Schizosaccharomyces pombe: one gene and its partners. The gene in region 1 interacts genetically with each later gene. Each region holds a gene or a part of one and is shown in the gene's direction. Other genes may lie near its edges. The genes, in order: red5, mlo3, nup120 and mex67.

Region 1 (5,752 bases):
ATAGTAATATAACCACTTCAACTTCAATTTGCAACATTGTTAGTTCAAACTTAACCAGAACTTACAAAATCATAGCAAATATCGGAATTAAAAACAAATGTTAACAAAAAAAAGTATTTAACTTTAGTTTCAATTAGGCAATAGAACTGCAGTACGGTCATTCATAAACCGGAACATCTCAATTACAAGATAACCATAAATTAAATGTCATCAGCCATCCAGGACATCTTGTCACGATTTTCAGCCAATATAACTGTGTCACCGGGATTGAAGGCAGGCATTCCTATATACGGGCATCCACTACAACGAAAAGCGTCGCCAAGATAGCAATTTCCGCAACTTGAGACGGCATTTTTACTCTTGAGCTTCTCGGTGAAATCAACTTCGGTGGTGTCTGTAAGTTTTACAGCTTCTAACTGTGCGGATGTCTTGGAAGACTCGTGTTCTTCCATTTCACGTAATCCACAGGTACAGTTCTTGCAAGCACGCTTTTTCTTTCCAGGTTCAGGTTTGCACTCGGGCACTTTTAAAACATTATCGTGGGCACTTTCGTCTAACAACTCATCTTCATCGATGAGTTCTTGATCATCATCACCACTAATAAGGTTTTCCTTGTCAGATTTTAAGAAATCAAGAATTTTGTTTTTGCTCGCTGATTGACCATTTTTGTTTGATAATTTAATGGGAACTGCTTCCACCTGATTGGGACGAGATAAAATCCAAGGACTCTTTGATTCAATAAGCCATCCAGATAGCAAAGCTGTCATTTCAAATGACTCGTCTGCTTCATCGGCAGTAGAATAAACACGAAGTGTTCCTCCAGGATGTACTGATGCAAAGGCTTGTGAAAGTATAGGTCCTAGAGTTGAAGACCATGCACCATCATCAATGGCAGCAATAACTGAATCATATCGATTGATGGGTAAATTAACAAGTTGAGATTGGACGCGATCTATCATTTGCAACTCTCTAGAAGCACCATTATCGATAAGGTCAAAAACTTTTTTCAAAGACTCCTCTTTTGAAGCAAAGCCGGGAGACGTCAAAACAAGGACAGAAGATGACATATTGAGAGAAGATATTAACAGCTTAAACAAAAGCAAAAAAAGTAATTAAAATTATTATATTATTACACGTTTCAGCGAAATGAAACCCTTAGCAATTGGTAAGTAAACCCACCAACGAATACAAAAAACACTATCAATAATAAAAATAAAAACGAAATCTAGATCGTTGTAACGTATGTACAGACAATTAGAAAAAAGTCAAAAACTGTCTTCCTTTTACCGGTCTGAAAGTGGTAAAATTTTTCTTTTAATCAACGGATAAACAAAAAAGTTATCTGTAGATATAATATGAAAATTTCCACGCCTTAACGTTATGAAATGATCAATTATAGAGAAATAATACTCAAACAATAAAAAAAAGGAATGATTAGTATTTTGTTCTTGTTAAATTCTATTTACCACAAGTGGCGACGCTGTAAATTTAACCTGTTGATTGGTAATCCGTCAGCATGTCTTAAAATGAATAGAATCCAATCATGTGGCACTGTAAGGCATATAGCTAAAACAATATTGTGGTTTTCTTATATATCGTTATTTATGCTTATGAAGTACTGCGCATTTCGGTAAGTCATTGATTTCTACTTTGTTCATACTGATCGAACAAGTCAACGGAATCACCGGCTAATCGACTGAAATGTCGGGTCAAGTGAAAACTTGTGTTGTACTTTTGGCTGCACGCAACTATTTCCAGCTTTGAGAACCATTTTTTTGGTAATTTACATTTAATAGTCAAATATTTTTAGCCCTGTGTTTTTTCGAGAAATTTGATATTCGTATTTTGCCGTGGGTGTCATATACAAATTACATATCGACTGTATAAGATAATAATGATAACTTTATGTAAGACTAGAGGGTTTTTTACTTCAAAAAGAAGGATTTATTAAATGCAATACTATCAAATGATGAAGGCGTTACGAATGTTAAAAAAACCGAAGCCAGGTTGTTTGGGTATTGAAATTCAGAGTGTTCCTATTCCCCAACCAAAGAATGGAGAGTTGCTTGTAAAAATTGAAGCTGCTGCCATCAACCCCAGTGATCTAATGAACGCAACAGGGGGTTTCCCGTATACTGTTTATCCTCGAATCGTTGGGCGAGATTATGCTGGTACTGTAATTAGTGGCGCATCTCATTTAGTAGGAACTCGAGTGTTTGGAACGAGCGGTAGCGAACTATCATTCACTAAAGACGGTACTCATGCTGAATACTGCATAATACCGGAAAAAGCAGCTGTTCGTATGCCAAGCAATTTGTCGTTTACTGAGGCAGCATCAGTCGGTGTCCCTTTTACAACCGCTTATTTGGCTTTAAGCAGAGGAGAAACCAAAGGCAGCGATATAGTACTAGTGGTTGGAGCCTTAGGTGCTGTCGGGTCGGCTGTTTGTCAAATAGCAGAGGATTGGGGATGTAAGGTAATCACAGTGTCTAGGAGCGGCTCAACCGATATCAATACAGTGGTGGATCCGGAATTAAAAAGGGTCCACGAATTGGTTGAGAAAGTTGATGTGGTAATCGATACGGTGGGCGATCCTTTGTTGATGAAATCGGCTCTCAATCAATTGGGAATAGGGGGAAGGTTGTCTTATATTTCCGCACCTAAGCAAGGGAGTATAGAATTTTCGTATGACATGAAACAAATATATCGCAAAAATCTGAAGATTATTGGGTGCAATTCTCTCTTACTTTCGTTAGTGGAATCAAACTCACTATTAAAGAATATGGTCGCCAAGTTTGAAGCAGGGAAATATAAGGTATTAAACAAGAAAATTGCTGAAACATCTCTTACTGATGAATGTATAAATTCATATAGAAAACTTATGAATGAATGTTCTACAAAGTTTGTGATTACTATGAGCACAAATTAAGCGTCCGAAATACAGACTTACCAAATTGTTTTTTCTGTATAATCAGTAAATTTTAAAAGAACTATAAATATTTGCTTTGATCTTTCATATCGTTTATTATTATTATTATTATAAAGAGGTATCTATTCGTTAATGAAAAAAACAATTTTGAGCTACGCTTTAAAGAAGGATTATTTAAATTAAGTAAAAAGGATTTCATTATAATTAAAGCAATATTGTTTTAATACTGATAATTTAAGATAGTTTTTTTTAAAATATCGTTATAAAGCGTCGGTAATTACATTGATGCTACTCCGACATTGTTGGTGCCACCGACTACGCTACTCTAATCTGTCGACTTAGAAATACCTTACCACATCTAATTACTGTAAGAATTTATTTCAAGGACTTTTTCATAGTTTTTTTGTTTTTGTAACGACGTTTTCAAAAAGGTCATTGTCAAACATATAAGCTCTTGCCTGTCGTTAAAAAAAGTAAAGACCTTGGTTAATCGTTGTCGTTCAATTATTTGGGCATTTAACTTAAACAGTTTTGTTTAAGGAAAGGTTCTCAAAGACTTTTTTTTAAAAGATTCACTTATAGAACGAAAGACCATTAAAGTGGAAAACCACTCATTTTAAAACATTGAGCAAACAAGAGCTTTTGCATAATATATCAAGTGGTGGTTTAAAACAGGAAATACTTGGACGATTCAAGTTCAATAAAAGACATTAAAGCTGTTGGTTTATTTTACAAAAAAAAACATCCGTTCGTTATATTTATTTATTAGTTCTAGGCGGCATTCACAATGAACGAGCAACAATTGCTGGAAAATATTGCTTCATTAGCTGGTACGTTTTGATTAAATTGTATTAACGTCTTTTGATTGTCTGTTATACAGAATAAATTTGGTCGACTTTGAAGTTGGATTGGTTTAACTAATGAGCTTTTTGGTTTTTGAAACCAATGAATAATTAGGATTTTCAAGGAGACAGATTTTATGCAAAAAAATATCTTTATGTTTCTTTATTTATGAAACGCTCAGTAATAATATAACTAACCTTTAGGTGCTATCAATCAATATAAAAATGAAAAAGGTAAGATGCCCATTTATGAGGAACTTTGACTCATGATTTTAGCAGAACCTACCCAGGTTTTAGATGCCGCTAAAGCAAATAAGAATACTCGTTCGTATCCCTATTCTGTTTCTAGGAACTATTCTTTTATCCTCAATAAATCCAATCGCTCGAAATCGACAGCTGCTAGCCCTCCATATGTGATACCGTCAACATCATCGAATGCAGACGATGCCAATAAGGAACCTGAAAAACAATCCACATCTGACTATGTATCACGGAAAAACAGACATATGCAACTGATTAAAAAAAATATTCTTGAACATGATTTGCAAGCGAGAAAAGCTAATTTGGAGAGCTACAGAGCCAAGCTTGAGAAAGAATACAAAACTTTAGCCGAAAATAAAATCCAGCAAAGATTATCCGATGGTACTAAACAATTAGTAACTATTGACGGACTGCAGTATATTACCGGTGTATCTGATACCAAGTGGTTGGAATTTGTTAGTGCTAAGGGACAATGTCCAAAATATTTATATTGGAATAATAAGTCTTATCTTCTTAAAAAGAAGAGGTTTCTCAAGGAGGTTGGAAATTCACCTTCAGCTGTTTATTGCCGTTATTATAATGCTAATGGAATTTGTGGGAAGGGAGCAGCATGCAGATTCGTGCATGAGCCCACCCGCAAAACGATATGTCCGAAATTTTTGAATGGTCGATGTAATAAAGCAGAAGATTGTAATTTGTCACATGAATTAGATCCCAGACGAATTCCTGCATGCCGGTATTTTCTATTAGGAAAATGCAATAACCCAAATTGTCGATATGTGCACATTCATTACTCTGAAAATGCCCCTATATGTTTTGAATTTGCCAAGTACGGTTTCTGTGAGTTAGGGACGTCTTGCAAAAATCAACATATTCTTCAGTGTACCGATTATGCTATGTTTGGTTCGTGTAATAATCCACAATGCTCTCTCTATCATGGTGCTGTTTCCGCTGATGTACCAGAACAAACAGAAGCTCCAATATCGAAGACTGCTGGTTCTATAAATCCAGAAGACTCTGGATCGGAAATTGGAAGTAATTCCTTAGAAAGCAACTTGGATTTTATATCCGTTTAGATAATTCGTTTAGCAGTTTGATCTTGTAGAATTAAATTATCGTGTAGTTACGCAATGTCTAAACTTTTGATGATAATGAGTTATAATTTTCTATTAATTGAATACAATAAATTTTTAAAAAATATCATAAGATTTAGAAAGAAAATAGAAAAAGATTTCAACTAGTTGATAAAGAATATTATTTTTTAAAGACTAAAACTAAGAGGCTAGGTAATTACAGCAACAAGAGTAAAATACATTAGATCCACATTTTTTACGATTATCAAAGAAAAAAGAACAAGATTGATGGATCTATCAAACGGAAAATTAAGGTTGCAGTTGAATACCGTCCGAAGCGCTCTTTGAAGCTTCTATAAATCGTCGAGCACTTTGAATGTTCATAAGGGTTACTGCTGATTCGATTTCTGGATCAGCAATGACCACCAATATGTATGTGTCCTCAGTATATGGAACAATGAATGCAGAGAAATTACCACCACGAAGCTCAAAAGTAGTAAATTGAGCTTGCATTTTGCTACAACTGAGTTTAAATTGCTTAACAATATTGCTAATTTTTTCGAACCTGTGAGCATCAGTGGCAGGATTGGACTCAGAAGAATAAGAAGAAATAACCAAAAATGTTGTTCTTTCAAATAATATTACCT
Region 2 (4,474 bases), 690 kb from region 1:
TTTATCTCTTTTTCATTTTTTTTTATCGTTCTTCCTTTGTATTCTTCTTTCCTTGAAAGGAGTACTCAAGAAATCGATTACAAAACTCGAAAAAGACTTGATTAGGTAGAATAGCAAAGGAGTTAAAAATTTTTTTTTTAATTCTTCAATTTGCTTTCCTTTTCGAAATTCTTCAGCAATGTCGTTTCCTTATCAGCACACTTCACGTTCTCAAGTTCAGCCTCCTTTGGCTGCCCCCGGCTTGAGTATGTTTGCTCCTGTTTCGTCCAGCAATAGTGCAAACTCTGCTTCTTCGGTTGCTGCTTTGTTGAGTCATGCTCCTATGTATGGTCTTGGCCAGCGTCGTCCGTCCTTCTTACCTGGCGTTTCTGTGCCCGATACGCTTTCGGTAAGGTCGGGCTTCTCCATCCCTTCCTCCTCTCATCATCCTTCCGCTGTTCCTTCCCTTCTGTCGCAGCACCGTTTACAGCAACCTCAACCACGTCTCTACCCTTCTGCGCCTCTAAACTATTACTGGCCATCTTATCAGTCGGTTCCATCTGCCGCACCTCCACCACCCTCCCAGCAACGCTATATGCCTGACTCTGCCGTTGCCTATAATCCTAACCAAGATCAATTTGGCAATTCGGTGAATGTATCAGCTGCATGTAACAACGTTTCCGCCCCTTTGATTGCTAACAATTGTGCTCCTTCCTTTTATCAGTCTCGACATCCCGTAGCAGATGTGCCTGTAACCAACAATACCGCCACTACTACCTCCGAGACTGATAATACAATCCCAGGTAATCTTAACATGCCTTCGGTTGCTAACGTTCAACAACGTATTTCTCCTGTCTGCAAAACTAACATGGAGGATCAGGAAGAAACCGTTTATACCGGAGGTGTTGCTGCTAAACTGGATTACAAGATGGATCAAATGGTGGAATACTTGTCTATCATGACTTGTAAGTTGTATGCTCGTTTCCTGAATAATGCTCAAATGCATTCTCTTGCTAACTCTTTACCTGGTCTTGTGTTTTCTTTCCGTAAGGTCGTTACACAAATTTTGACGTCTACGCGTTTACCTCGTGCCTCTTGCTTGCTTGCCTTGTCATACCTTTCCGATCGTCTTGACGCCGCATCTCAAACGACTGATTTTGTAAACCAGTGGACTAAGGAGTCGTTATTCTTCCAAATATGTGCTCTTTTAACGACCGCCTTGATTTTGGCTAATAAGTTTTTGGATGACAATACGTTTACCAATCAATCCTGGTCGCAAGTTACTGGTTTCCGTACTGCCTTGTTGAACAGCTTTGAACAAGACTGGCTAGCTAGCATGTCCTGGAATCTTAGTCCCGGTCCTCGTGGTCAAAAGGCATGGGAGTGGTGGAGTGCTTCTTATTCTTTGTTTACTTCCTCAAACGCTACATACTCTGGTGAACAAAAAACTTATAGCCCTACTACGTTGAGCACCAACGCACCACCATCGCCCTCTTCTGGACGTTCTTGCTCTAATTGCAACTACTATTATCCCTATACACCCGTGGGATATTATCCAGTGTACAATCGCTATGCAATGACTTAGTGATCGTGCTTACTTTCTGCGGGTGTTGTTGCTTGACGGGGTTTGTTTTTCGTTTCCTTGCGCTTATAAACACTTTACGTGTTTTTGTTATTCTTGTAACTTTTTTCTCTTTTCATATTGTATGACGGGAACTTTTGTTTAACCCGTCATATTGTATTCTCTAATCATCTCCGTGATGAATTCGGCTCTCTTGAAATTAATTTGCCGTTTGATCTTGCTTTTCTACTTTCTTATTTTTTCAAATTTTAACAGAGAAAAAAAAAATTTCCCAAAAAAAATTGAAAAGTAGTATACCGAAAAAAAGGAACCAACTTCTTATCAGTATCTGTTTTATTTTTGTCGTTGGACTTTTATTTTGCTTTCTCGTGTGGCTTTGTTATCTATTGGAATATCTTTTGATGCAATTCTGATTTGTTAATACTGCTTGATGTATATACATCCGCTACTACTATAGGGATCGCGGATTTCCTTTTTAAAGTTCGCCTTCAAAAATTAGTAGTCTACTTATACAACTAGCTTCATCAAGAAATACATTGTGAATAGATGAAAAGGCCCATGGATGCTTTGAGTTTATTTTTCTGTTTCATTAGCAAAGATTTTACTTCGGGCATCGTTTTTGTCCTTATTTTGTTTATTTTTTCTCCTTTTGATACTTAAATGAGAAACCTTTGCTTGCTGTTTTCTAAGGATTAAGCATAAAATTTTTTATTGCGATTTTCCAACTCCCAAACTGTTTGTTATGATTACCTAGTTTTATTGCGCATTCGTCGTATGTCTACTAGTGAGATAACGGATTTATATAATCTCTTATACTTGATTCTGTTGCACTGAATCGTGCTTTTTAATTCTGAATTATGTTGTCTTTGAATGTTTTCCGTGTTTCTAAAAATTGCATAATCGTTATTCTTCTGTCTAGATTCTGCATTGTTAAGCTACCAAGAAGCGGCGAAGCGTTTGCATCTATCTAATCGTGTAGGCATCATATCAAACGTTTGGTATTATGGTTACAAAAATTGCTTTCCAAAAAAACAATAAATTCTGTTTTATCAATAATCTCTCAACTTTTATAAGTGAACGCGTCCATCCTAGTTCTGATGCCAATAAAGTGTAAAGTAAGTTTAATTTGTAATATTATTTTTTTGTCAAATTTCTGAAGACTTTAAAGTAAGCGTTCAACATCGCTAAATATATTTAGGAATCTACAAAATAATAATTTTAAATATCGACACCTTGTGTACTACCCTTACCTAGATCCTGATCAGTTGTAAACCCCACCCGCCACTTTACCACCTAACAACAACTAACTACCCAACAGTAACTCGATAAAAATGTCTATGGAATTAGATCAGTCCTTGGACGCCATAATTGCTTCAAAGCCTAAAGGAGGTATTAGAAAGCGTCGTGCGCGCTCTAACAAGCCAAAGCCAACAAAGAACGCGAAACCCGCAGTGAACACTGCCTCTGCCCTTAAATCCGTCATTTCTGAGGAATCTAAAATTATTGTTTCTAACTTACCTACTGACGTTACCGAGGCTCAAGTTAAGGAGCTTTTTGTGAAATCCATAGGACCTTGCAAACGCGTTTCCTTGGCTTACGGTCCCAACGGTCGTTCGAAAGGTATTGCAACTATCATTTTTTCTCGTCCTGGTGATGCCACTCGAGCTTATGAACAGTATGAGGGTCGTTTGGTTGATGGCACTAGAAAAATGAAGGTTGAGATAATCCTTGATCCTAGTCGTCAATTGAATTCTTTGGCTGCACGTGTAAGTCCTGCCAGCAACGCTAGCGCCACTGCTAGCAAGAATGGCGCCAAATCTTCCAAGCGGAAGACTACACGCCGCCGTAGAACTCCTAATCGTCCTAAAAAATCCGCCGAAGAGCTCGACAAGGAGATGGATGATTATTTTGGATCAAATGAGAAGGAGTAACTTTAATAATTTGAAGATTCTACTATATATACATATATTTTGAAGATGTCAAATGCTTCTTGGTATTAATAACGACCTATACAACATACTCCCTCAGTTAAATAATATTGGCAATATAATGCTGTTTCGAATGGCAGTTCTTGAAGTTGTTTTTGTGTTTTGGGTCTTTCGTAATGGATTTGGAGAAGTGAGCTGAACCAGTTCTTGTTAGTATATATGGTGTGTATTGGGTCATATTGCCATTATGCCATTATTTCAAAGAATTTCATTAAATTTTTTATTTATATCTCTTTTTTGATAGACATATATGTTTCATTGACATCGAACGAATTTGGTTACTTATTTCTTTTTCGGTGGTTAACGTTGGGTTGGAGGTTTTGACTTTTGCTAACTTTTGACATATCTGTTGATTTGTAGTATGCAAGCTTAAACGCTACCAAGAAGCTAAGCTTTGAGTCGAGTTCATTATTAGCATATCTGTTCACCTGTTATGTTTGCAACTTTATCAGCTCTTGTGCAGAAATCCTTTATGGTTGATAAGCGCTCCCTTCTTGTTTAATACAAAAGCAAAACCTATGTAGACAGTGGTTAAAAGAGGTGGATAATGGTAGCTTCGGCTACTGTTACTTTATTTAATCTAAGTTACTGTACAAGGCAGCTGTTTTGATCATCATGTTGCTAAACTATACTGGGTTGAGCTTACCGACAGGGTTTATTATTGCATGTTTGCTGAAAGTCAAAGCTTCCATACCCCAACTTGACTGTGTTTATTATGTTCATGATGGTTTTTGGTTCACGTCACACTTATTCCAAGTCTTGTTTTACTATATGTGGCACGGCTTGTTTGGATGAGGAATTTCTATTCGTAAAATCATCGCGTTCGATGGCTCTATTTCATCTTTGTCAAATTGTACATGACAGAACTGGCTTCATTCCTTCCTTTGTATGTAAACCACATTTATAGAACTTTTCCACGATTGCA
Region 3 (7,267 bases), 3.0 Mb from region 1:
TTACTGGCATACTAGCAAAAAATTGTAAGCAGAGTTTTTGTTAAACTATATTTGATAAATAGAAAAGTGATTATAAGAGAAATGTATTATTTTAAGTATAAATCTCATTCAACATCAAAACTGACATTACAACCACAAGAAGTCTTGGCACGTGGATTGTTTAAAAGTTGAAAAGAGGAACCAATAAGTTCATTTGTATACTCAATTTCAGAGCCACTTATCAAAGGTAATGAAATGTTGTCAGCAACAACCCTGGCTTTTCCACGCACAAATACCCTAGATATTTAGTCAATAACCAGGAAATACTTAATTAAAACTTATAGTCTTCTTAACCACATCACTTACGTGTCAGCATTTCCAATTTTGTTGTCCATGCGAAAAGATACTTGATATCCATGGCATCCACCACCATCGACAGTGACGCGCAAAACAGAGTTTTCTTCTGGTTTCCTTTCTGCAATTTTTTCTAACTGTTTTTTCGCTGAATCTTTCACGTATAAAATAAAAGGGATTCCCTTCTCGTCACATTGCTCTTGAAGCGTGAATTGGTCGTTCGCAAGCTTTGAGCTATAAAATCGATTTTTGATTTTGAATTCATTATTTATTTTGGGAAATATTTCTTTCGTTAATGTATTCGATTTCGCATCAATTCTACATGATCGAGAATTTCTAAGCGATCCATGCGATAGCTGTCGAATTGCGATCACAGGATTTAAGAGTGTTTGAAAACAACGTTCTCGAAAGAAAAATGGTCCTTTAAACAATAAGTTTACTCGCGATTTCATAAGCATCACTGCAAAGTATTATAGCCACAAGTTAGGACTTTCTAACTTGTAAACATACAGTAACGTAATAGAAGTCAAATTGCCTACGCTCTGTTTCGTTAATTCAGTATATTCCAAATTGGTGCTTATGTTTATGAGATAGAGAAGTTAAGTACATAAATGAAATAGTCATAACTTGACGAGTGTGTCATAGACTAAAGTCAAATTCAGGGATTTACCTATTAGTTAACACCCAATCTCTAAGAGATTTATATCGGATAGATTGAATTCGAACTTACAAAACTCTCACACCCATAGCTAGTAGAGAATAAGGGGAATTTATCAAATATATCTAGAATTATTTAATGTTCTTTTTTACTTATGTTGTATGCTACTAAATTTTGTGATGATTTATAGTCAAAATTAATATCTTTGGATTATTTTTACCTTTTGGTACTCCTACTCCTTTAATTCTCTTTCAGTTTTAAATGAATAGATTTTTAGCTATTAGAGATAATTTCAACCCATTTGGTTAATTCTTCTTCTGGATATTTATTGTCGATCCTTTAATTCTAGCATAGACCGGTGGATCACATCCAGAAAATGTCTTTATCACAATTGATGCCATTGCTACAATCTTCTACTTTAGCTAATTCTTTATCGTGATACCAGTGTATGTACTACCGCTTAATTACTATAAAGTTGCGGGTGTTCGTACAAGCACATATCACCGCAATTGTAATATTGAATCAGGTATAAGAGATCTTGGCTATTAGACTTAGAATTGGTTGTATCTGCAATAAAAAAAATAAATTATAAATTGCATGCCAATGAACAATAATTCACCCTTGCACGTAATTAATATTTATTAAAATGTAATTTACAATTTAACGTATGGTTGAAAATATTACATGTTTTATTTACTAAGAATTTGCAAAATTTAAAAATAAACAAAACTAGAAAATTAGAAAACTATTTTATTAAAAAAGATTGAAAGGCTGTAAATTAAGACCCTAAAGATGAGTACTGTTAATTTAAATAGATTTAATCTCTTAAAACAACAGCTAAAAAGTTACAGGTATACAAAAAATAATAAAAAAAACTAACAATAATCTAAGAAAGGCTTCTGATATCTTGAAGATCTTTTACTGTTGTATGTAATTTCACAAATAAAATAGAGAATCCATTTAAGCTCTTGAGTTTTAAATGAATATTTGATTCCTTTTTTATTATTATGAATACAAAGGAATTGCTCGATTAATAAAAACTATCAAATTGTTTAGCTTTCTTCATCCACAATCAAATGATTCTATTTTATTAAGGAACTTAATCTTCAAGAAGAAAATTCAGTTTTACATTCCATCTCCCTCTACCCTAAAAAGCTAAAGAATTACAAATATACTCGTATTTACGCGTTTCTCATAAATTCGTTGTAGGACTGGCCTGTCTTACGCTAACTCGTGTAGGTCGTTGTCTACGATACTCAACCAGAACTGCCCCCTATTGTTAGCTATTTGTTTGGTATTTCTACTGGTATTACCGCTACCAGTAAAAAATAAAATCAAAATATGAATGAATTAAAGCATGCGGTAGTTCCGATAGACTTACAATCTTTTTGTCTGGAAGGAACTTTGGCGTTGTGGGTTCCAGCTCTCGAAAACGACTCGGAAGACGATTCTGAAGCTATAGAAACAGCTGATGATAATGAAAAACTTTTTAAAAAGGAATGTGTAGCATATGATGCAGGTGTTTATACCTCAAATAAAAGCAAAGGTTCACAAACTTTACGATGGAGTATATTCCAAAACAGAACACTCACTATCTTTGATGTTTCATTAAATTCTAAGAAGGAGCCTTTATCAAAATTTAATGTGAAAATTCATTTTCCATCCAACGTAATGAAGGACGGTGTAGCTTTCTCGTTCAGTGAGCATTCCGACACGACCATTATATATGCTATTACTCACGCTCGCGTTTTGTATTATATTAGATTATCTAAAACTTGGTTCCAATTACCGGACGCTCGCTTAGACGACGATTGGTGTCTTTGTTACCGACCAATATCCTTTCTGAATCAAAAACCCGATTTAATGGCCGCAATTAGCACGTCTGAAATTTGTGTAAGCTTTTTCAATGGAGGTTTAACAAAGATTATATTAAATCCAAAAGACGCTAGTCACTACGAACAGCATATTGATGATTCTAGTTATTTGTTTTCCCTAAAAAAATATCTATCACTTCAGGCATTTAAGGCAGATTACCGCTCTCCTAATACTATTATTTCAATGATTTTTTTGTCTACCTATAATGTTCTTGTGATGCTATCGCTTGACTATAAGTTAAAAGTTTTGGATTTGTCTACTAATCAATGCGTCGAAACCATTGAACTGTCACAGACTATACTTCCTCTACAATCCTTTCCTTATTTAACTTCAGATCACACCACTAATTCTTTCATCGCTCTGTATTACCCAGATAATTCTCATGGCTCTTTTTCAATTTACAAACTTAACGCAAACGCCCACTCTTTTAAATTAAATGTTGTCATCGAGAAGGGCATAATTCCTCCTTCTTTACCAGACGATGAGTTCATACCATGGATGCTTTCTGATTTTCAACTGATATCGTCAGAGGGCTCTCAATCTAAATTTTTGCTCATTATTGCTTGGAAAAGCAACTTAAATACCGTTATCCAAAAATGCAACCTTAGTCTAGATCAGGACGAGAGTTTTTCATGCGTTTGGAGTCACTCTTTGGATAGCTTTTCCCTCATAGAAAAAACCTTTTTTGACGTTCCAACAAACATGTCGTCTGGGGATATCTCAGAGATTTGGCTACAACACATTTTTGCACATAATACATCTATTGAGTCTATACAAGTTGCTCTTTTAAGCTTTCAAAACAGCTCCTCGCAAGTTTCAAAAAATAAACTGGATAAATTTGGCGCACTTACTATAAGTGAACTTAAAAATGCCGTTTTGTCGTCTATAGTTTCAACGATCCAAATAGAGCCAAATTCAGATTTAACTGGATACGATTATTATGAATATAAGCGGCTATTATATAATGAATGGGAAAGGTTTGCGAAACTTGTTGCATATCTGGATCATTTTGGAGATGAAATATTAAGTATTAACTTCGATCCTTCGAACGCTGTTACATATATCAATTATGCAAATAAAGTGGCTTTTATTAGGGATCCTTATCTCATTGAATCCTTTGACGAAGAGCCGTTGACCAAATTAATTAGTTCCCTTGAAACAGATGATCCTTCTCTAATTGAAGGTTATCAAATTCTGGATCTTGGTAGGAGTTTACATTCCTGTATGTCATTTTCTACTTTATCTGAAATTAGATACTCATTACGAGAACTAGTCCAGGATTTGCCATCTTATTCTTTATTTGATACATTGTGGGTATTTTATGACAAGCACATATATCCCAACGTCGATCCAGATTATATCAGTACTTTAATTGATACTCTAGTTTCTCTTGAAAACCCGATGCGCGACATTGATTCTCTTATCCAACGCTTAAGAAGTTTCGATATTTACAACCATTCCGCTCAATCCCCTTCCTTATTTTTGTGTGCATCGGTAGCACGGGTTTTGGACAGTATTTTGAAAAAGTTTCAAGTCTCTATTGAAGGATTTATTTTTCTACTTTCTTTGATAACTAGCCAGCAGGATTATGAGTTACAATCCAAATTTGCAGGATGTGATAAATTATTTCTTTCTTTACTAGAAGATTGGCGTCTTGTGAGTTTTCTTTTAGAGAATTCTGCACTTTTGCTAGAAAAATTTGAGGAGGAGGATGTTGATTCAACAAACTGTAATTTAAATACTATGGAAGCTTTAGCAAGTGTTAACACAGCCCTTCAGTTTTTTTCCGCTTTGAATTATTCCGAATGTTTCTCAGAAAGCCAAATTTCACCTTTACATGCTACCGTGATATCGTCTTTGTCGGCAATCTTTATAAGGGACGATACGGAAAATGATCTGGTCACTGAACTTGTAGAAAAGTTGTTTCTATTCAAACAATATAATGCATGTATGCAATTAATAGGGTGGCTTAACTCTGACCCAATTGCAGTCTACTTGAAAGCACTTATTTATCTCAAATCGAAAGAAGCTGTTAAGGCTGTCCGATGTTTCAAGACTACTTCTCTAGTCCTTTACTCACATACTTCTCAATTCGCAGTTTTACGGGAGTTTCAAGAAATTGCTGAAAAATACCACCATCAGAACCTATTATCGTGTTATTACCTTCATCTATCAAAAAAGCTGTTCGAGGAGAGTGCATATATAGATGCATTAGAATTTTCTTTATTAGCAGATGCCTCGAAAGAGACTGACGACGAAGATTTGTCTATTGCAATTACCCATGAGACTTTAAAAACCGCTTGTGCAGCAGGAAAGTTTGACGCTGCTCACGTTGCATTGATGGTTTTATCCACTACGCCTTTGAAAAAGTCATGTTTACTAGACTTTGTAAATCAATTAACGAAACAAGGTAAAATAAATCAGCTTCTAAATTATTCAATGCCAACGTTAAGACAGGACGTCGACAATTTGCTTGAGCGAAAGGCCTTTCAAATGATTAACGTTGAATCACAACCATGCTGGTATAATATTTTGTTTAGTTGGCGGTATAAACATCAAAACTATCGAGACGCAGCAGCAATTATTTATGAAAAACTGAGCCGGTATATCTCTACTACAGAATTAATTGGAAAAAAGGAGAGAACTTTTATAATAGAACATTATTTGATTGTTTTGAACACTCTGGAGTTGCTTCCGAAAGAAGATACATGGATTCTTGTGACAGACATGTCCGTGGACAAGGAACCTGACCCTAACTTTCTTCCACAAAAATTACTTACTCTAGATGCAATTGTAGCAGAATATCACTTACAGTTGAAGGATGTCGCTGTTCAAGTTACAGCTGAAATGTCATCGGCCATGAATATCGATTTATAAAGGCAACAAAGAATTATTTACGCAGCTTAACCTTCTCATTTAGAAAAATCCAGAAAAAAAGCAATATGCTTGGCAGAGTTTTAGTAATTAAATCATCTTTAGTTTCATTGAGGCGATGGGTAGCCATAAATAACTAACTTCTTTCTATAAAATTAAATTCTGAATATAAATATACTTTCGATAGCATTGGTATTTACATATCTTTAACGAATTATAATTCCGACCTTTTTGCTGCAGCTTGCCGCAGTTTGCTAATTAGTGTTGTCCGTTGGGAAATATTGTTGAGATACGGCTAGTATCGGCAGAATGTTGGAACCAACAATAATTATATATTTGAATTTTTATTTCCTTATTTTATAACATTTTTTTGAAACTTTTGGTTTCAGATTAAATAATTCTCTATTAATAATAGTGTACGGAAATTGCACGCCGTGTGCCCGAATTTAAATTTGTCGGGTCCCGAAGGAATGTACAAAACACCAAGACCTGCGAAAACTGATTCTCAGTGAATTGGGTATATCGGTCTTGTAAAGATCTAATTAATGAACGTTTACCAATGTTATTGAACTGAAAATATCGTTATGAGGATTTTTACTCTTGGAAAAGGCCGAATTTCACGAGGGTATGCTCGGCAAGTTAACCCTTCATTATTTGCCAAGTACAGCTACTGTATTGCCAATAATCCTTGGTATTTCATTCTTGTGTTTACTCTTTTATCAATCACAGGTATATATTCGTCGTTGGTAGCGTATCAGCAATCCCTTTACGATCAATCATTAGCTAGATGGTCGGCTTGGTATGCCGAGAGCATCAATGCTGAAGCAAATGTTATTACGAAACAACTCTATCTTTTAGGAACGAACACATCAGTGTTTTCCGAAGACTATCTTTCAAACGCGTATCGTTGGGAAACAAGCTTCCATCAATATTTGGCGGAATACGGGTATCCTTGCATAAGAGATGAAAAATCCTGTGTAACTATTTCTCCAATACCAAAATATTATGGTAAGGTTGATCCTGTAGCTCAATATTCATATACTAAAGGGCTTCCTGAAAATGAGCGTGAAGTGAACAAGCTTAGGAATGATACAATAGCCGAAGGTTTTGACTCGCTTAGTGCTTTTGTGATTACTTACTTTTTAAAGCCTGAACAAGTCGATACTTTTCATGTTGTTTTAAAGAAATTTATTTCCGAAACTCCTAATCTATATGCAAGTTTACTTGATACATCCCCTACCACTGTCGTAGCACGTATTCCTGACCTTACTGTTATTTACAGATGGTACCTATGGGTTGGGTTTGGAGTCGGACTTTTTGCATATTTGTATTTGTCACTTGTGCGGTTGCATGATATTCGTGCTAAATTTGGTCTTACAGCGACTATATTTATTCAAAGCGGTACTGCCTACTTCTCTACCTGTTCTTTGCTGTATTTCTTTGAAAGAACGGGCCCCATATGTCCATGGCCTATGGCTTACTATATTATCATATTTATGGACATTGAAAACTCGTAAGTTTTTTTGC
Region 4 (5,492 bases), 1.4 Mb from region 1:
AGAAACACCAACGACTCCTACGATTATAGGATCCTTCCGCACCATTTTAGTGCCCCAGTGTGGGAACTTAATAGATACAACAGAGATAACGATAAGGTGAACAAATATGAAATGCATCTAAACGTTAAACGACATACAGCATGTGCATTGTTAATACCCGTGGAGAAGACAGAGCAAAGAACACTAGGATTTTTTCTTTTATCCACGGCACAATCAACTATGATATTTCACATTACAGCCATAATAGTGACAAAATAGAAATGAACGTAGCTTGTTAAACCCATTGAGTATCCTGTCCGACAAACAAGCTGTCCCTATAACACTAAAAAATGGAAGAAATTTCGATAATTCAAAATTAAGTAAACAGCAGGTTTTTAAAACCCACGAATACAACCAAAATTTACACAAGACAGACAAATACAACCAACACATAACATGAATAATATTAAAATGAATTAAAAAACATTAATGAGTCATACAAAAAATTTAAAACTTATACTACAAAGCAAAAAGCTATCTGAACTACCGACCCACAGAAAAAGTATCAATATGACTATTCCTGTAAGGGCACTAAGATGTCCAATATGGCTCTGGCCCACGTATGACGCTCAAACCATTCCATGGAAAAAGAAAAAGAAAAGTGAGCAACACGAATTGTGGGCGTCGGTATATAACCGCACGATAGGGAAACTTCAACTTAACAAACTCACGTTTATAGACCTTTGTGACTGTTTTTTAAACCCTACCCTTTTAAGTAATTTGTTTGCTGCATTTTCAGGTTATTATCCTATTGAGGTTACGATAATGTCAAGGAAAGTATAAAACAAGTGCTGTTCAAAATAAATAAATGAAAATAAAATAACACTTTTTTAATCGATTTCTGTAGAAATTTAGTCCTTTCATTTTTTAAGTTGACCCTTCATTGTTATACAACAATTAATTATTCTATACGTATATATTATATATATTGTCTACATCAATAACTGAGCAGAATTGAGCATTATACTGGATAGAAAATAAAAAAAATAAGCAGGCATTTTTTCACAAGTAAGTACATATTTTTATGATATGAATTGATAAAGGTGCAGGCGATCATATTGTTAGTTAATAATAAAAAATTGTAAATAGTAATTTTGCTTCTCCATTAAAATGAATACATAAATTTAGTAGATAATCGATTTAAACAAAAAATAGATATCCAAGCCAAAAAAAAAATAAAAAAAACCAAAAAATGTTTATTTTTTTTGGCTCATGAAACCCAGATTTATCAAAAACTTACGTTGCTTAGTGCTCAATCTCTTTAAACATGCAATAAAACAAGAATTAGCGGGACACATATATTGATATATTGCTTAAGGAATTAGTGTTCGGAAGTCTTACTGACTAAACTGTTCTTTACTTCAAAATTTACTCCTGAATTTTCATGTTAATGGAGGTCGAATTTTAGGTGGTCGATTGAGTTATATCAATAGTGATTTTACAAAAAAACAGTAAACGATTTTATATTAGCCTCATATAAATTTTTTTGAATTTCAATAAAATAAACTAAAACAAAAAATGTATTTCCACAAATTCCATCGATACAAGCATAGCAAAAGACGAATAACGCATTTAACAGTTTCTCGTTATATCACAAATAGTCTAACTGTTTAACGCAGTTTTGCGCGTACACATCTCTACTCCTTATACTTGTCCTATTACTATTGAAGTTAAAAATGTTGAATTAAATTCCACTTACTCTCTTTCTCTTCACACTTACTACTCAACATAATTGCAAAATGTTGCGTAGAAAGCGGGAGCGTCGTAATGCTGTTAAAGAGAATGAAATGGTAATTGATACACCATTGGAGAAACGCCGTACACCAGGCAAACCTCGTGCCACGCGTGAACCCCCGATATCCGTAGTTATTACTGGTCATTCCAAGGGTTCTGAGGACGACTTAATAAGCTTTGTTTGGAGAAAAGTCAAGGTTCGTCTAATGAACATTTCATATTCTCCGGCTTCGGTCACTGCCGTAGTTAAAAGCCAAGACTTTAGTCGTTTGAACGGGTTAAATGGTGCGGCTTTTGCTGGTGATCATTTGGCTATACGAAGGGTCGATGGAGCTTCTAACGTTACTCAAGATTATAGAAAAGCAAAGACAAAACGATCATTTCGTTCTGTTTCAGCTCCTTCATTATCTGCATTAGCAACACAAGCCCAGAGAAATGTTTCAAAAACGTTACCACAATCCACAAATGAGACCATTGAAAAGTTACGCCAGTTTTTGCAAACCCGTTATCAACCTGCTACTAAATTCTTGGACCTCGGAAATTTGCAACAAGATCCTCTTTTAAAGCAAATGGGGATTTTAGCAGAGGCTTCTACTAAGAGTAAGATGTTTCCAGCGTTAATGAAGGTTGCTTCTTTAAACTTTCCAGACGTTATATCAGTTAGTTTGTCGGATAACAACTTACAATCGGTGACTGCCGTAACCACTTTAGCACAAACATGGCCTAAACTTTTAAACCTTAGTCTTGCTAATAACCGGATTACTTCTTTATCTGACTTGGATCCATGGTCCCCCAAAACAAAGCTTCCCGAACTCCAAGAGCTTGTTCTTGTCGGAAACCCGATTGTCACAACCTTTGCTAATCGTGCTATGGATTATCAACGGGAAATGGTTTCGCGTTTTCCGAAGCTTCGTCTTTTAGATGGTAACAGCATAAATTCAGAGATTATCGCCTCTCAATCTACCGTCCCTTTTCCGGTTTATCAATCTTTCTTTGATAAGGTTGAAACCGAACAAATAGTCAATTCTTTTTTGGCTGCGTTCTTTAAAGGTTGGGATGAGAATAGAAGTGCACTTGTCAATCAATTATACAGTCCAAATGCTACCTTCTCAATCTCTCTGAACGCTTCAAACGTTAGAACGAACTTTTCTCAGAAAACAGACACTAAAAAATGGGGAGCTTACAAAATGAAAAGCAGAAATCTACTTTACTCACAATCACAGAAGGAGTCGAAATCTCGTTTATTTAACGGGCACGAAGAAATAAGCAACGCTGTAAAATCCTTACCTGCTACGGCTCACGATTTATCAGACCGTTCGCAATGGGTTTTTGATGGTTGGAACCTGGTTCTGCCTTCGGTTGGTGCAGCCATCAAAATTGTTGTCCATGGGCAATTTGAGGAACCACAAAACAAACGACTTCTACGAAGTTTTGATCGAACTTTGCTGATTTTGCCGGGAGGTTCCACAGGCATATTGATTATAAATGATTTATTAGTCATTCGTTCATTTGCTGGATCGCTCGGGTGGCTACCTGGTCAAAGCAGTGTACGAACAAGCAATAATGCCATGTCTGCGTCTGCTTCAAAGCCTAGTGATATTGTACAGCCAAGACCGGAACAAGCAATGTTAGACACTAGACAACAAATTGTATTAAAAATTAAGGCGGAGACAGGTTTAAATGATTACTATGCTCACATGTGTTGTGAGCAAAATAATTGGGATTACAACAGCGCTCTAGCATCTTTTTTGGAATTAAAGTCGCGAAATGTTATACCAGCCGAAGCATTTTCATGAACTTCTAGTGACGTGTATAGATAGATATGGTTAAAAAATTACAAACTGGGGAAATGGAAACTTTTATTTAATAATGGTACATATTGATGAAATGAATAAGTTAGATTTATACATAGTCGTTCGTGATCATTCTATAAAAGTATTATGGCGGTAATTAAATATAAGAAAGAACAATGGTAAAAGTAAGAGCCAAATATCCTTTTAATCCAAAACAACACTAACTTGATCTTCATCTTCAAGTTCCGTGCTTTGCACTTGATCGTTGGGATCTAACCATTCACCTTCAAATTCTAATCTAATGCGTTCATGAAAACTAATCTTTACTTCAGTACAATATCTCTTAATCAAATCTTTAACAGTGAAATCGACGGGTATTGAGAGACGAAGATCCTCACTCTTACTCGAACGCAAAAGCAACGTTATAAGTTTACACGTTTGAGCAGTTGAATCTTCAGTTACCGAGGATAACTTTTCCACTTCCAATTCTTTTATTCTTTTGAGTGATATAAAATCCGAGTGACAGTAGGCATGCACAACCAAACGGGTATCGACTTTAAGCATACCAGCGCCCTTTGGGGTTCCATAATCCCATAATCTTTGATTTTGAAATACAAGAACAACGTTATCTACTTTTTTTCTTTCAGAGTACGCTATTCTGACACGACGAAACTGTTGGTTCGACTTAACTTTGAAAAATAACGGTGCCTCCCAGTCCCGGGGAAGAGAGATATTGCTGTTTGGAATTCTCTGTCCAATTACGGCTAACTGGAGAACGACGGAAATAACTGGTTCATTTGTTGAGAATTCCGATTTGGAGTGATACAGCGTTGAGTGGTCACTTTTTGAATGCTTTAAAAGGGGCACATCAGCCGAAGTATTGTCATCGTCTTCTTCAATTTCTCTCTTATGCGTGTGAATTTGTACATCCATATCACTTGATGATTTTTCAAACTCCTGAACTTGCCGATCAATTTCCTCTAACCTACGAGCAAAGTCATCGTCCAGCAGTGATGAAGTCGTAGAAAGCGCAGCCTCACTATTAATGCTGTTGTTTCGCAAGTTAGCGGCCGCCCTAGTATTATAAACTGGTGAAACCGGTTGTGTTACACAGGAGATAGCACTTTTGGGTGAGTGCCTACCTTCATTCAAACACGCATTAGGAGTAGTGTCTGAAACGTCTTGGTTGCCTTCATCAGCATCTAAAATAGTGGATTGACGAGATAAAGGTTCGGCACTTTTGTTTTCATTATGAGTTATATTTTTCTGTGCATTTATGTGTTCTAATGCTTGTTTATTGGTATCAAGTTCACTTTCCTCTTCTAGAATGTTGTAAGCAAGCTGACACTTTGCAATCGGAATTAAAACTTACCAGAATCTGAGGAAGAGGCTATTAATTGCTTGGCATAGTTTAATGGAGGCTTTTTAATAGGCTTTGAGAAGAATGCTAAGTCATCTTCATCTAGGTTGTCCATTTGGCGAGTTTTAGCAATTACGGTGGTTCCACAAAGCTTCTTATGGATTTAACGAGAATTTGTAGCGACACACCTTAAACTAGGTAATTTTTAGCTTAGTTTTGTTTTCACTCAAGTTTATTACAAATCGATTTTGAAAGTTATATAATAATTTTATAATTCAATTGAAAAAGTTCAATGAACATTCCTCCAACTCATCTTCGAAATGAAGTTTGTTTACTTACGCAAAACCCGATCTTGTCCACTTAGCAAACAGATTTAAGTCTATAGAATTTCATTTTTTAGGTTAAGTAATTTGAAAACTCTTTGCTTCTTGTACTGAGACATTAGGTTTGATGAATTTCAATGACATTGGCTCACCTTACGACGGCTACATTGCGTCCGTCCATTACTGCCATTCATAATTTGTTCTTCATTCGCTAAATAAATTTTATTTAGTTCAGATAAAACC

What was found.
Region 2: mutations in red5 (region 1) and mlo3 impair growth when combined (synthetic growth defect), as found in Schizosaccharomyces pombe (one study listed by BioGRID).
Region 3: mutations in red5 (region 1) and nup120 impair growth when combined (synthetic growth defect), as found in Schizosaccharomyces pombe (one study listed by BioGRID).
Region 4: mutations in red5 (region 1) and mex67 impair growth when combined (synthetic growth defect), as found in Schizosaccharomyces pombe (one study listed by BioGRID).

The regions. Positions count from the first base shown.
Region 1 is NC_003423.3:1,048,364-1,054,115, forward strand, and holds red5 (zinc finger CCCH domain-containing protein), read left to right. Parts: upstream 1-3,239; 5' UTR 3,240-3,716; coding exon 3,717-3,759; exon of another isoform or gene 3,760-3,833; intron 3,834-3,969; exon of another isoform or gene 3,970-3,975; coding exon 3,976-4,005; exon of another isoform or gene 4,006-4,050; coding exon 4,051-5,108; 3' UTR 5,109-5,252; downstream 5,253-5,752. Other genes in the region: dre2 (anamorsin family protein), read right to left, coding at 201-1,067; SPOM_SPBC337.11 (peptidase), read left to right, coding at 1,952-2,929; Gtr1/RagA G protein Gtr1, read right to left, coding at 5,415-5,752.
Region 2 is NC_003423.3:1,743,131-1,747,604, reverse strand, and holds mlo3 (RNA-binding protein Mlo3), read left to right. Parts: upstream 1-2,856; 5' UTR 2,857-2,892; coding exon 2,893-3,492; 3' UTR 3,493-3,637; downstream 3,638-4,474. Other genes in the region: cyclin Clg1, read left to right, coding at 179-1,564. UniProt on the Schizosaccharomyces pombe protein: Has a role in the mRNA export process. Interferes with mitotic chromosome segregation when overexpressed.
Region 3 is NC_003423.3:4,013,833-4,021,099, reverse strand, and holds nup120 (nucleoporin, WD repeat Nup120), read left to right. Parts: upstream 1-2,249; 5' UTR 2,250-2,332; coding exon 2,333-5,743; 3' UTR 5,744-5,874; downstream 5,875-7,267. Other genes in the region: Fe-sulfur protein Isa2, read right to left, coding at 105-276, 346-791; Sre1 cleavage-activating protein Scap Scp1, read left to right, coding at 6,325-7,253. UniProt on the Schizosaccharomyces pombe protein: Functions as a component of the nuclear pore complex (NPC).
Region 4 is NC_003423.3:2,406,381-2,411,872, reverse strand, and holds mex67 (nucleoporin Mex67), read left to right. Parts: upstream 1-1,751; 5' UTR 1,752-1,778; coding exon 1,779-3,569; 3' UTR 3,570-3,721; downstream 3,722-5,492. Other genes in the region: SPOM_SPBC1921.04C (uncharacterized protein), read left to right, coding at 469-822; DNA repair protein, SUMO-related Rad60, read right to left, coding at 3,771-4,888, 4,939-5,041. UniProt on the Schizosaccharomyces pombe protein: Involved in the export of mRNA from the nucleus to the cytoplasm.